Arabidopsis thaliana: one gene and its partner. The protein of the gene in region 1 purifies or fractionates together with the protein of each later gene. This does not show direct contact. Each region holds a gene or a part of one and is shown in the gene's direction. Other genes may lie near its edges.

What was found.
Region 2: the proteins of AT1G25260 (region 1) and AT2G42650 fractionate together in Arabidopsis thaliana (co-fractionation; one large-scale study listed by BioGRID). This does not show direct contact.

What each region holds. Positions count from the first base shown.
Region 1 is NC_003070.9:8,853,021-8,857,470, reverse strand, and holds AT1G25260 (Ribosomal protein L10 family protein), read left to right. Parts: upstream 1-1,596; 5' UTR 1,597-1,704; coding exon 1,705-1,732; intron 1,733-1,984; coding exon 1,985-2,150; intron 2,151-2,228; coding exon 2,229-2,319; intron 2,320-2,412; coding exon 2,413-2,471; intron 2,472-2,606; coding exon 2,607-2,667; intron 2,668-2,824; coding exon 2,825-2,915; intron 2,916-3,015; coding exon 3,016-3,092; intron 3,093-3,173; coding exon 3,174-3,308; 3' UTR 3,309-3,937; downstream 3,938-4,450.
Region 2 is NC_003071.7:17,763,362-17,767,388, forward strand, and holds AT2G42650 (Ribosomal protein L1p/L10e family), read left to right. Parts: upstream 1-1,816; 5' UTR 1,817-2,168; coding exon 2,169-3,287; 3' UTR 3,288-3,527; downstream 3,528-4,027. Other genes in the region: AT2G42640 (Mitogen activated protein kinase kinase kinase-like protein), read right to left, coding at 28-56, 280-347; AT2G42660 (Homeodomain-like superfamily protein), read right to left, coding at 3,704-3,886, 3,978-4,027.

The sequences.
Region 1 (4,450 bases):
GTTACTAAAGTAGCAAAGTTTGGAAGGATTAACCTTCTTGTAGACAAAAGAAAAGAAAAACAAAAGAGTTTATGTGTTGAAATGTATATTCATGATCAAAGGGAAAACAGAATACAAAGTGAAGACGTAATGCAAAAATAAGACGAAACTGTTTATTGTCGTTCTATGAAAGGAGCTCCACAAGCTTTCAAGAGCGTTTCACTGCAAAAGAATCTTTTTTTTTTGCAAAAGCATTTGTTATAACATGACAAGAAAACTATTATACATTTACATCGATGCCACACATTCTTATACGAACGGTAATGCGTTTTACTATATGAGCCAAAATGACAATGCAGAAACATGCTCGGTGCTATTAACATTTATTAAAACATAATTGTGAAGTTAAACAAGATATAAATAAAAGTAACATATTAGGTTGACGTTGACACGTGCTAAGCATGCTTTGTGGCTTTTCCGCGATGGCTTTGCCACACACAAGAACTCCAAAAGAAAGAAAAAGGCTCGTATATCATTATTGTCAGTAAGCAACATGCGTACGTAAAGCCAAATACACTTGGTAAAGATCCAAATGTGGAAGTTTTGGGCTTGGATTCTCTTTCCATTCTTCTGCTCTCTTTCATGTGACTTGCATAAAGATGATACGACCAAAAGTGAAAACCAAGTATCAATTCATACATACATATTATAAGAATGAGAAAGAAAAAAAGTTATATTCATACTGACCCAATTAAAATTTCACACACAAAAAAACCTCTAGAGAACGTTATGATACCCCAATTGAATGTCATATATTTTCCATCATTTTCTTTTATGCCATAGATCGAGCCACTATCAATACCACTAGCTATAACAATCTCGAGCGATTTTTGTGTGTTTTTTTAATTCCCCCGACGGAACTAATTCCACTCATCTCTTGATCTTTTCGCCATATAGCACGACATATATATAGCCCACATACAATCAATATTGCTCCTAGTAAAAATAAAAATAAATATATTGCTTCAAGTACACTTCAATTTGAAAACAATAATATAGTGTATGCTTATAAATATTATCAAATCTTAATAAATAAATTGTCTTTTACCTTCCCAAATAAACTTCTCGTCCAAGAACAAAACACAAGCCACGGCGACTACTACGAGCATGAGAAGGGTTGAGGACTTCTACAAATGAGTGGACCCATCCCCTTAGTCTCGAACAAATTGCCAGTAGTGAGATCACTACTCACTACTAATGGTTGTTCCTATTGTTCCCTATACGTTTACATTGTTTAATTTCCGAGCATTCATATAAATAATTTATAATTCATTATTAAGAGGTTTAATAATATGATTTTGAAAGTACCACTTTTTAATTAATTTTTATAACATTAAATTTAAAACTTTAATTTCTTAACTTAAAAACTTTTGCACAACAAAACAAAAAAAACTAAAAACACTATAATCCATTTAAATTTAAACTAGTACACCCTCCAATGACAAAAAAAAATCGGCCCAGATTTCTGATAGCTAAAAGGCCTGAAACGGGCCGGATCCGGATCGGGTTGAATTAGGGGTCCAGATTAAAAAGTGCGAATTAAAGCAAACAAGGGAACAAGGGTTTCAGTTTCCCTGAAGAAAATTGAAAGGAGCTTAATAAACAGAAGCCGTTCTCCTTCACTTTCGTTCCTCTCACTTCCATACAACATTTGAAACCTCAGCTATGCCTAAATCAAAGCGAGATAGACCAGGTTAGAACTCTTCTTCCTTCACTCTTTCTGCTCTCTATTGTCTGAACCATTGTATCTCTGTCACTGGTTTTGGAAGCTGTAACTTTTGTAGCCGCCGTCAAGGGTTTTAGGGTTTTGTTAGGTTTTTAGAGGAACCCTTTTGAAAAAAACTTTAACTTGTTGGAGTTAGTAATGTTTTTTCATAGCTTCTATGGTTGAATCGATTGATGAATGGTTTATCTAAGGGTTTTGTTTTCTGATTTTTTGCTGCAGTGACTTTGTCTAAGACGAAGAAGAAAGGAAGAGAGCATAAGGAGTGTATTGTGAATGGAATTAGGGAGGCTGTTGAAAAATATTCCTCTGTCTATGTTTTCTCTTTTGAAAACATGAGAAATATCAAATTCAAGGAGTTTAGGCAGCAGTTTAGGCACAATGGAAAGTTAGTTTCTTTGTCCTTCTTCTGGTTGATGTTAGAATTACTTGAATGTTATGACTGACTCGGTTCTTATTTGTCTAGGTTCTTCCTAGGTTCGAACAAAGTGATGCAGGTTGCTCTTGGTCGTTCTGCAGAAGATGAACTCCGTTCTGGTATCTACAAAGTCTCCAAGGTTTGTGTATTCTGCTTCTTACAATGGTTCTTTTATGTTAAATGGTCATTTTTTGTCAGTTAGATTTACATATGTTGTGGAATGTTGTTTCAGCTGCTTCGTGGTGATACTGGACTTCTTGTTACTGATATGCCAAAGGAAGAAGTCGAAAGGTATCTATCTATGTATCTCTTGACGTCCTCTTTTTTCCTCTTTTGCTTTGGTGAAACAACAGTGACGGGTTTGAATTGTATACATGTCTAGTTGTTGTAACTGTTCACAATACTTCTTCTGGTTGTGTATTGCAGCTTATTTAACGCTTATGAGGATTCCGACTTTTCAAGGACCGGAAGCATTGCAGTAGAAACGGTTTGTGAACAGAACTTGTGCCATCTCTATATACTGTTGTTTCTAGATAAATAAATAAGCTTGACTATGATCAGGCTCTGCTTCTCTTTGTTATTTAAAAAACTTTGTTTCGTTACTTTTATCTTAATTACTATATTGGTACCACCTAAATGATTAGGTTGAACTGAAGGAAGGTCCTCTAGAACAGTTCACACATGAGATGGAACCACTTCTTCGGAAGCTTGAAATGCCTGTACGACTAAACAAAGGTCTGTCGTCTCACCATCTTAATATTCCTCTTTCTCATACTCACTTTTGCTATCTATATTAATCCAAAAACTTATTTCTTCTTCTTATTTTAATATGTAGGTACTGTGGAGTTGGTCGCTGACTTTGTAGTTTGTGAAGAAGGAAAACAACTTTCGCCAAAATCAGCCCACATTTTGGTAATAAGACTTCTGTATACCAAAACCCTTTCCTTTTAATTTGTATGCTTTATTTCTTATACTTGTTTGTTTACTTTGCAGCGTCTATTGCGAATGAAGATGGCTACTTTCAAGCTGAACTTGCTCTGCAGATGGAGCCCTAGTGACTTTGAGCTTTACAGAGAAGATCTGTCAGAGCTTTACCGAGAAGATCTCTCAGACGTTGAAACCTCTTAGGAAGCCAAGATTTTGACTCCACCCTTTAAATTTTTCTTAATATCATCACTATCACATGGATTTTATATTGTGGCACATGGTTTGCATTCAAATGTTTTAAGTCAAAGTTTTGCTTGCTTTACATGTTTTGTAGAATATCAACTTATCTTCAAGAACCCCCTATCCTAATATTGGCAAATCAATCTTGAAAACCTTGTTTTTCTTATTCAGCCACATTATGGAATTTCTTACTCAATTTGCTTACTTTTTACAGATTTATAGATGGTGTTGGGACCGAATTAATTGGCATGCGTATGATAATTTAAAGCAAGTTTTTCTTCTTGTCTTTAAAATTATTGTGGTCCATGGGCTTGAGAGCAGTCCAACAACGTTCACACGTCGTCCATCTCTTTTGATAATTTCTTGTTTTTTGTTTTTTTGTTTGTTTTTTAGCAATCCGAAACTATTGCGTTTGACTAGGTGAGCTTAGAGTTGTGATGTTAGGGATAGAAGCAGTTTTCTACGAAAGGGGTTGAAGATACTATGAGGCGAATGCGGTTGAACAAAATAGAACCCACCGGAGATTTTGGTAAAAGATTAAACGGAAAGGCGATACTTCCAACTCCGACGTAACAAATGTTTAGTTGTAGATTTTCAACATTTTATGAATTTTGATAACATATTTTTTAATTAAATTTTGGTTAACATATTTTTGTTATAAAAAAAAAATATATACATAAACTACGGGTTCTCTCATTTTAAACAAGTATAAGTATACTATTATGTCTTAATATATTTCCTTAACATTACATATATATATATATATATATATATATAAAATCGAAAATACGATATTCTCTCATTTAAATATACTCAATCAAATATCAACTTTCTGTTTCTTGTTTTCTATCCGCAGATAATGCGGGATAAATTGTTTCCTAATTCATGTATGGGACTTTTATTGGATTTACGGAGTTTGCCTATACAAATTTAGGTAAGTTAGATTGGAAAAACAAGTTCCATATACTTTATCCTTAATTTTTTTGCTTATTTCTTCTTTCCTAATGAACAAAAAGATTTTGTTAAAAAAAAAAATGTAAATCAAGGAGATCACGTATTGAGGTGAGATGAGAAAGAGAGAGTGTGTGGCTTTAAAGAAGGAA
Region 2 (4,027 bases), on another chromosome or scaffold:
AAATATTAAGAATCAAACTTCGCTTACCAGTAGCTTGGACCTCTAGGTCAGCTAACCTACATAGGCAAAAGCAGAATGGTTAAGTAAATATAGACTCGGATATACTGTTGCAGAAATAAATGTTTCAGTGACATACTAAGTTGCATTCCATATATTCCTTATCAAAGCATTTAACTAGTAGACAATTCTCAAAGACTGGCTACAAAACTTATTCAAAGTGTTGGACTTTTCGATACTTATAGAAGAGATTCACTTCAATAATTCAGCCTCAGAACTTACGACAAGATCACGGAACCATTTGATTCCACCACTGATCCTCGGTGACCTCTGCAACACTTAGCTCCCATTTTCAAGTCCTCGGTTGCAAAATTTCAAATTCCTGCATAGATTTCAAAACCCATTTCAAAATAAAATCCCACCAACTTCGATGGATTCAAACACACAAGAACCCATAAACCAAACGGTCTAAAATCATATAAGAAAAGGCTAAAGAGCAAAAGAAGAATAAGGGTTTATGAAAAAACTCACAGAAAGCAGATAAACGTCCTTCCAATTCCAAAATCCAGCAATCAATCTGCTTAAATCGCACTGCGAAACAAGAGAAAGACAGAAGAGAGATCTGAAGATTGCCATGATCAAGCAACAAAGAGCTAAACGTACACACATATAGAGTATGTGTACGTATATGCATAGAGATTTGCAACAGAGATTCATGAGATAAAAATTGGATTTTGGAGGTTTTGAAAGTTTTGATTTTGATGGCGGAAGAAGCAAAAACACAGTCAAGGGGTTTTACGAAAGTGACGAAGCAAGTCACGTGCGAGGGATTATGAGTCACGTGCCGAGAAGCACTTATTCACAGGATATATTTCATAAGTACAATTTTGTCCTCTACCTACATGGATTGTTTTTGTCATCCATTTCTATCTCAAAGATCTTCGAAACAAGATACATATTTGATAGTCATTACACTATGAATGACAATATATTATCAGATTGTTCATGCATATGAGATAGATTTCTTAAAAGAGGATGATGTAAATGAACAAGAATCTAACAAGAGTTTGATGAAAAATGAGGATGAACTTTTTTTGAAAAGAGTATAATAGAAAATCAACGAATGTATTCAATCTTCGAAAAAGATTGCAATAAGAATGACTCAAGAGAATTCATCCTACTTCAATATTGATGTTGATTATGATACTTACACGTCAACAACAACAGATCATCAAAGTGTTTGGCAGTGCGGCTATTTCTTTGTTTGTCAAAAACCTGACATTTCTATCATTTCATGTATTCTCTCAATGAACTCAATAAGATATCACACATTTTGGTTTATAAAGAAATCCCTCCATTTATATAGTACTTACATAAAGAAAAGTGTTTGAGAATTTTGTTTTGGTTATCTAAATATTGACATTTTCAATTAATGTGATTCTCACTTTTTTCTTAAAGAAATATTTATTTTTAAAGTTTGAAGAGCTATAAGAGGAATTAGACATTTTGCGAAGGGAATAAAAACTTGAAAATAAAGAAAACAATTTTATTAATAATTATATTGTCCAGGTGTATATACTTTATTTCTTTGTATATAAAAATTAGCATCAAATATATTTGGTAAGTACGTTTTAGACAAGTATGGTAAATGACAGCCAAGTACTACATGACTCATATTTTATATAATTAATTTCATATTTTAAATTTATATCTATATCTACATTAACATGAAATAAAAAAGATTTCATGTATTGATAAAATAAGCTAGTTTGTCATAATTTCCTATATCTTAAATCTTACCAATTACCATCTTCTAAAAGTTTCTCTTACCACACAAAAAAAAAATCTTCAAAACATTTCTCCTATGCAAAACTTGAGGACAATTTATAAAACAACATAGTTAAGCCCATTAACTAATATTATGGGCCTTAAGAAACGCAAAACAAACTCGTTTAATAGAAAAGATTTCTCCGATGCAAAAACTTGAGGACAATTTATGAAAACAATATAATTAAGCCCATTAACCAATATTATGGGCCTTAAGAAACCCAAAACAAACTCGTTTAAAAGTCATCGTCCTCCGTAAACCCTGAATCTTCCTTCACAGAACCCTAAATAACTTTTCTTTTCCTCCGACCACCGCAGCTCAGCCGCAACCGCCGCCACCACTTATGTCAAGAGTAAGTCCCAAGACTGTGGACGATGCAGTTAAGGCTCTGGTCAAAGAGGGAAACGAAAAATCAAGGACGGAGAAGCCACAGCTTCTAGAAGAAGACGGATTCTTTTACCTAGTCGTAGCCCTAAAGAAGATTCCACAGAGGAATTTTACGAACGCTTATCGTATTCCTCTCCCGCATCCGCTAATTAACACTACCGAAGACTCACCGGAGCTCTGTCTCATCATCGACGACAGACCTGAAAGTGGTCTCACCGAGGAAGATGCGAAGAAGAATATCAAATCAGAGAACATACCAATCACGAAAGTTGTTAAGCTTTCGAAGCTGAAATCGGATTATGGATCATTCGAATCGAAACGGAAGCTTTGTGATTCATACGATATGTTTTTCTCAGATCGGAGAGTGATTCCTATGTTGCCAAAATTGATTGGGAAGAAGTTCTTTCAGAGCAAGAAGACTCCTGTGGCTATTGATTTGAAGCATATGAATTGGAAAGAGCAGATTGAGAAAGCTTGTGGTGCTGCTATGTTCTTCATGAGGACTGGGTCTTGTAGTGCGATCAAAGTTGCGAAATTGTCCATGGAAAGCGATGATATCGTTGAGAATGTGACGGCGACTTTGAATGGTGTTGTTGATGTTTTGCCTAGTAGGTGGAAATACATAAGATCTTTGCATTTGAAGTTATCTGAGAGTTTATCTTTGCCATTATATCAGACAGTGCCTTATTTGCAGCTCAAGATTGATCCTTTAGGTGTTGAAGAAGTTAAGAATGGTGAAGGATTAGCTAAAAGTGATGTTGATGATAGTAGTAGTAAGAGTGTGAAGACAAAGAAGAAGAATGGAAAGATTCATGAGGTTAGATATATGGATAGTAATGTATCTGAGACTCTTGGTGATGATGAATTCGATAGGAGTGTTGGAGAAGATGAGGTTGCTGATGATCTCAATGCTTCTGGAGATAAGAAGAAGAGGAAGAAGATGAGTAGTAGTAAGTCTGCAGTGAGTGGGAAACCAGACATTGTGAAGAGTAAGAATGGGCAAAAGTCGAAAAAGCTAAAGAAGGACATTGATGAGTCTGGTGGTGGATTCAAAGCTAAGACTAAGAGGAGGTGAACCAAGAAAAGAAGATTTTATATTAATGTCGTTATAACTAAGTATTCTATTCTTTCTGCTTGAGTGATTTTTTTGGATACTGATTATGACTTTGTCTTATTATGGTATCATCATCATGATTCTTATATATTTAGGACTTTTATTATCGTTTACTATTTCATCAAACTAGTGACTTGCCATGTAGTTGATTTGGTGGTTTTGACGAGGAAACATATTATTACATGTGTTTTGTTGCATTCCAGAATTGGTGTTGTATTGAATGCAGAGAAACCGCTAAGGATAAGTACTTGCAGGATCTGACTCAAGCCTGATCCAGATCCTGGCTAAGTACTCATCCCATGAAACGGCTAAGGAAAACAAAAGTCTCTACTCTTGAATCTCTTTTAAAGTTAAACTTCATCTCTCTAGTATGTTGGTTACGGTTCTGATGATGTCGACAACAGAGAGAGCGAGAGCATTGTGTTGATATCATCTGTTGGTTTTTGCCTGCAATTTCCAAACTCAGGCAACTGTATCCCACCTCCGGACATTGATTTCAATCGTTTGACTGATGATACTTCTTCATCTCGGACTCTTTTCTCATTGTTCTTCTTCCTAATCTGCATAAGATTTCACCAAGATTACAGTACCTTCCTCGGTTTTTAACAAAACTGTTCCTCTATAACTCTTAAAACGAAAGTAGGTAGTTACCTCGAGTAGAGGCAGAGTCTTGTTCTCTGTGCTGTCTCGGTCATTTCTGC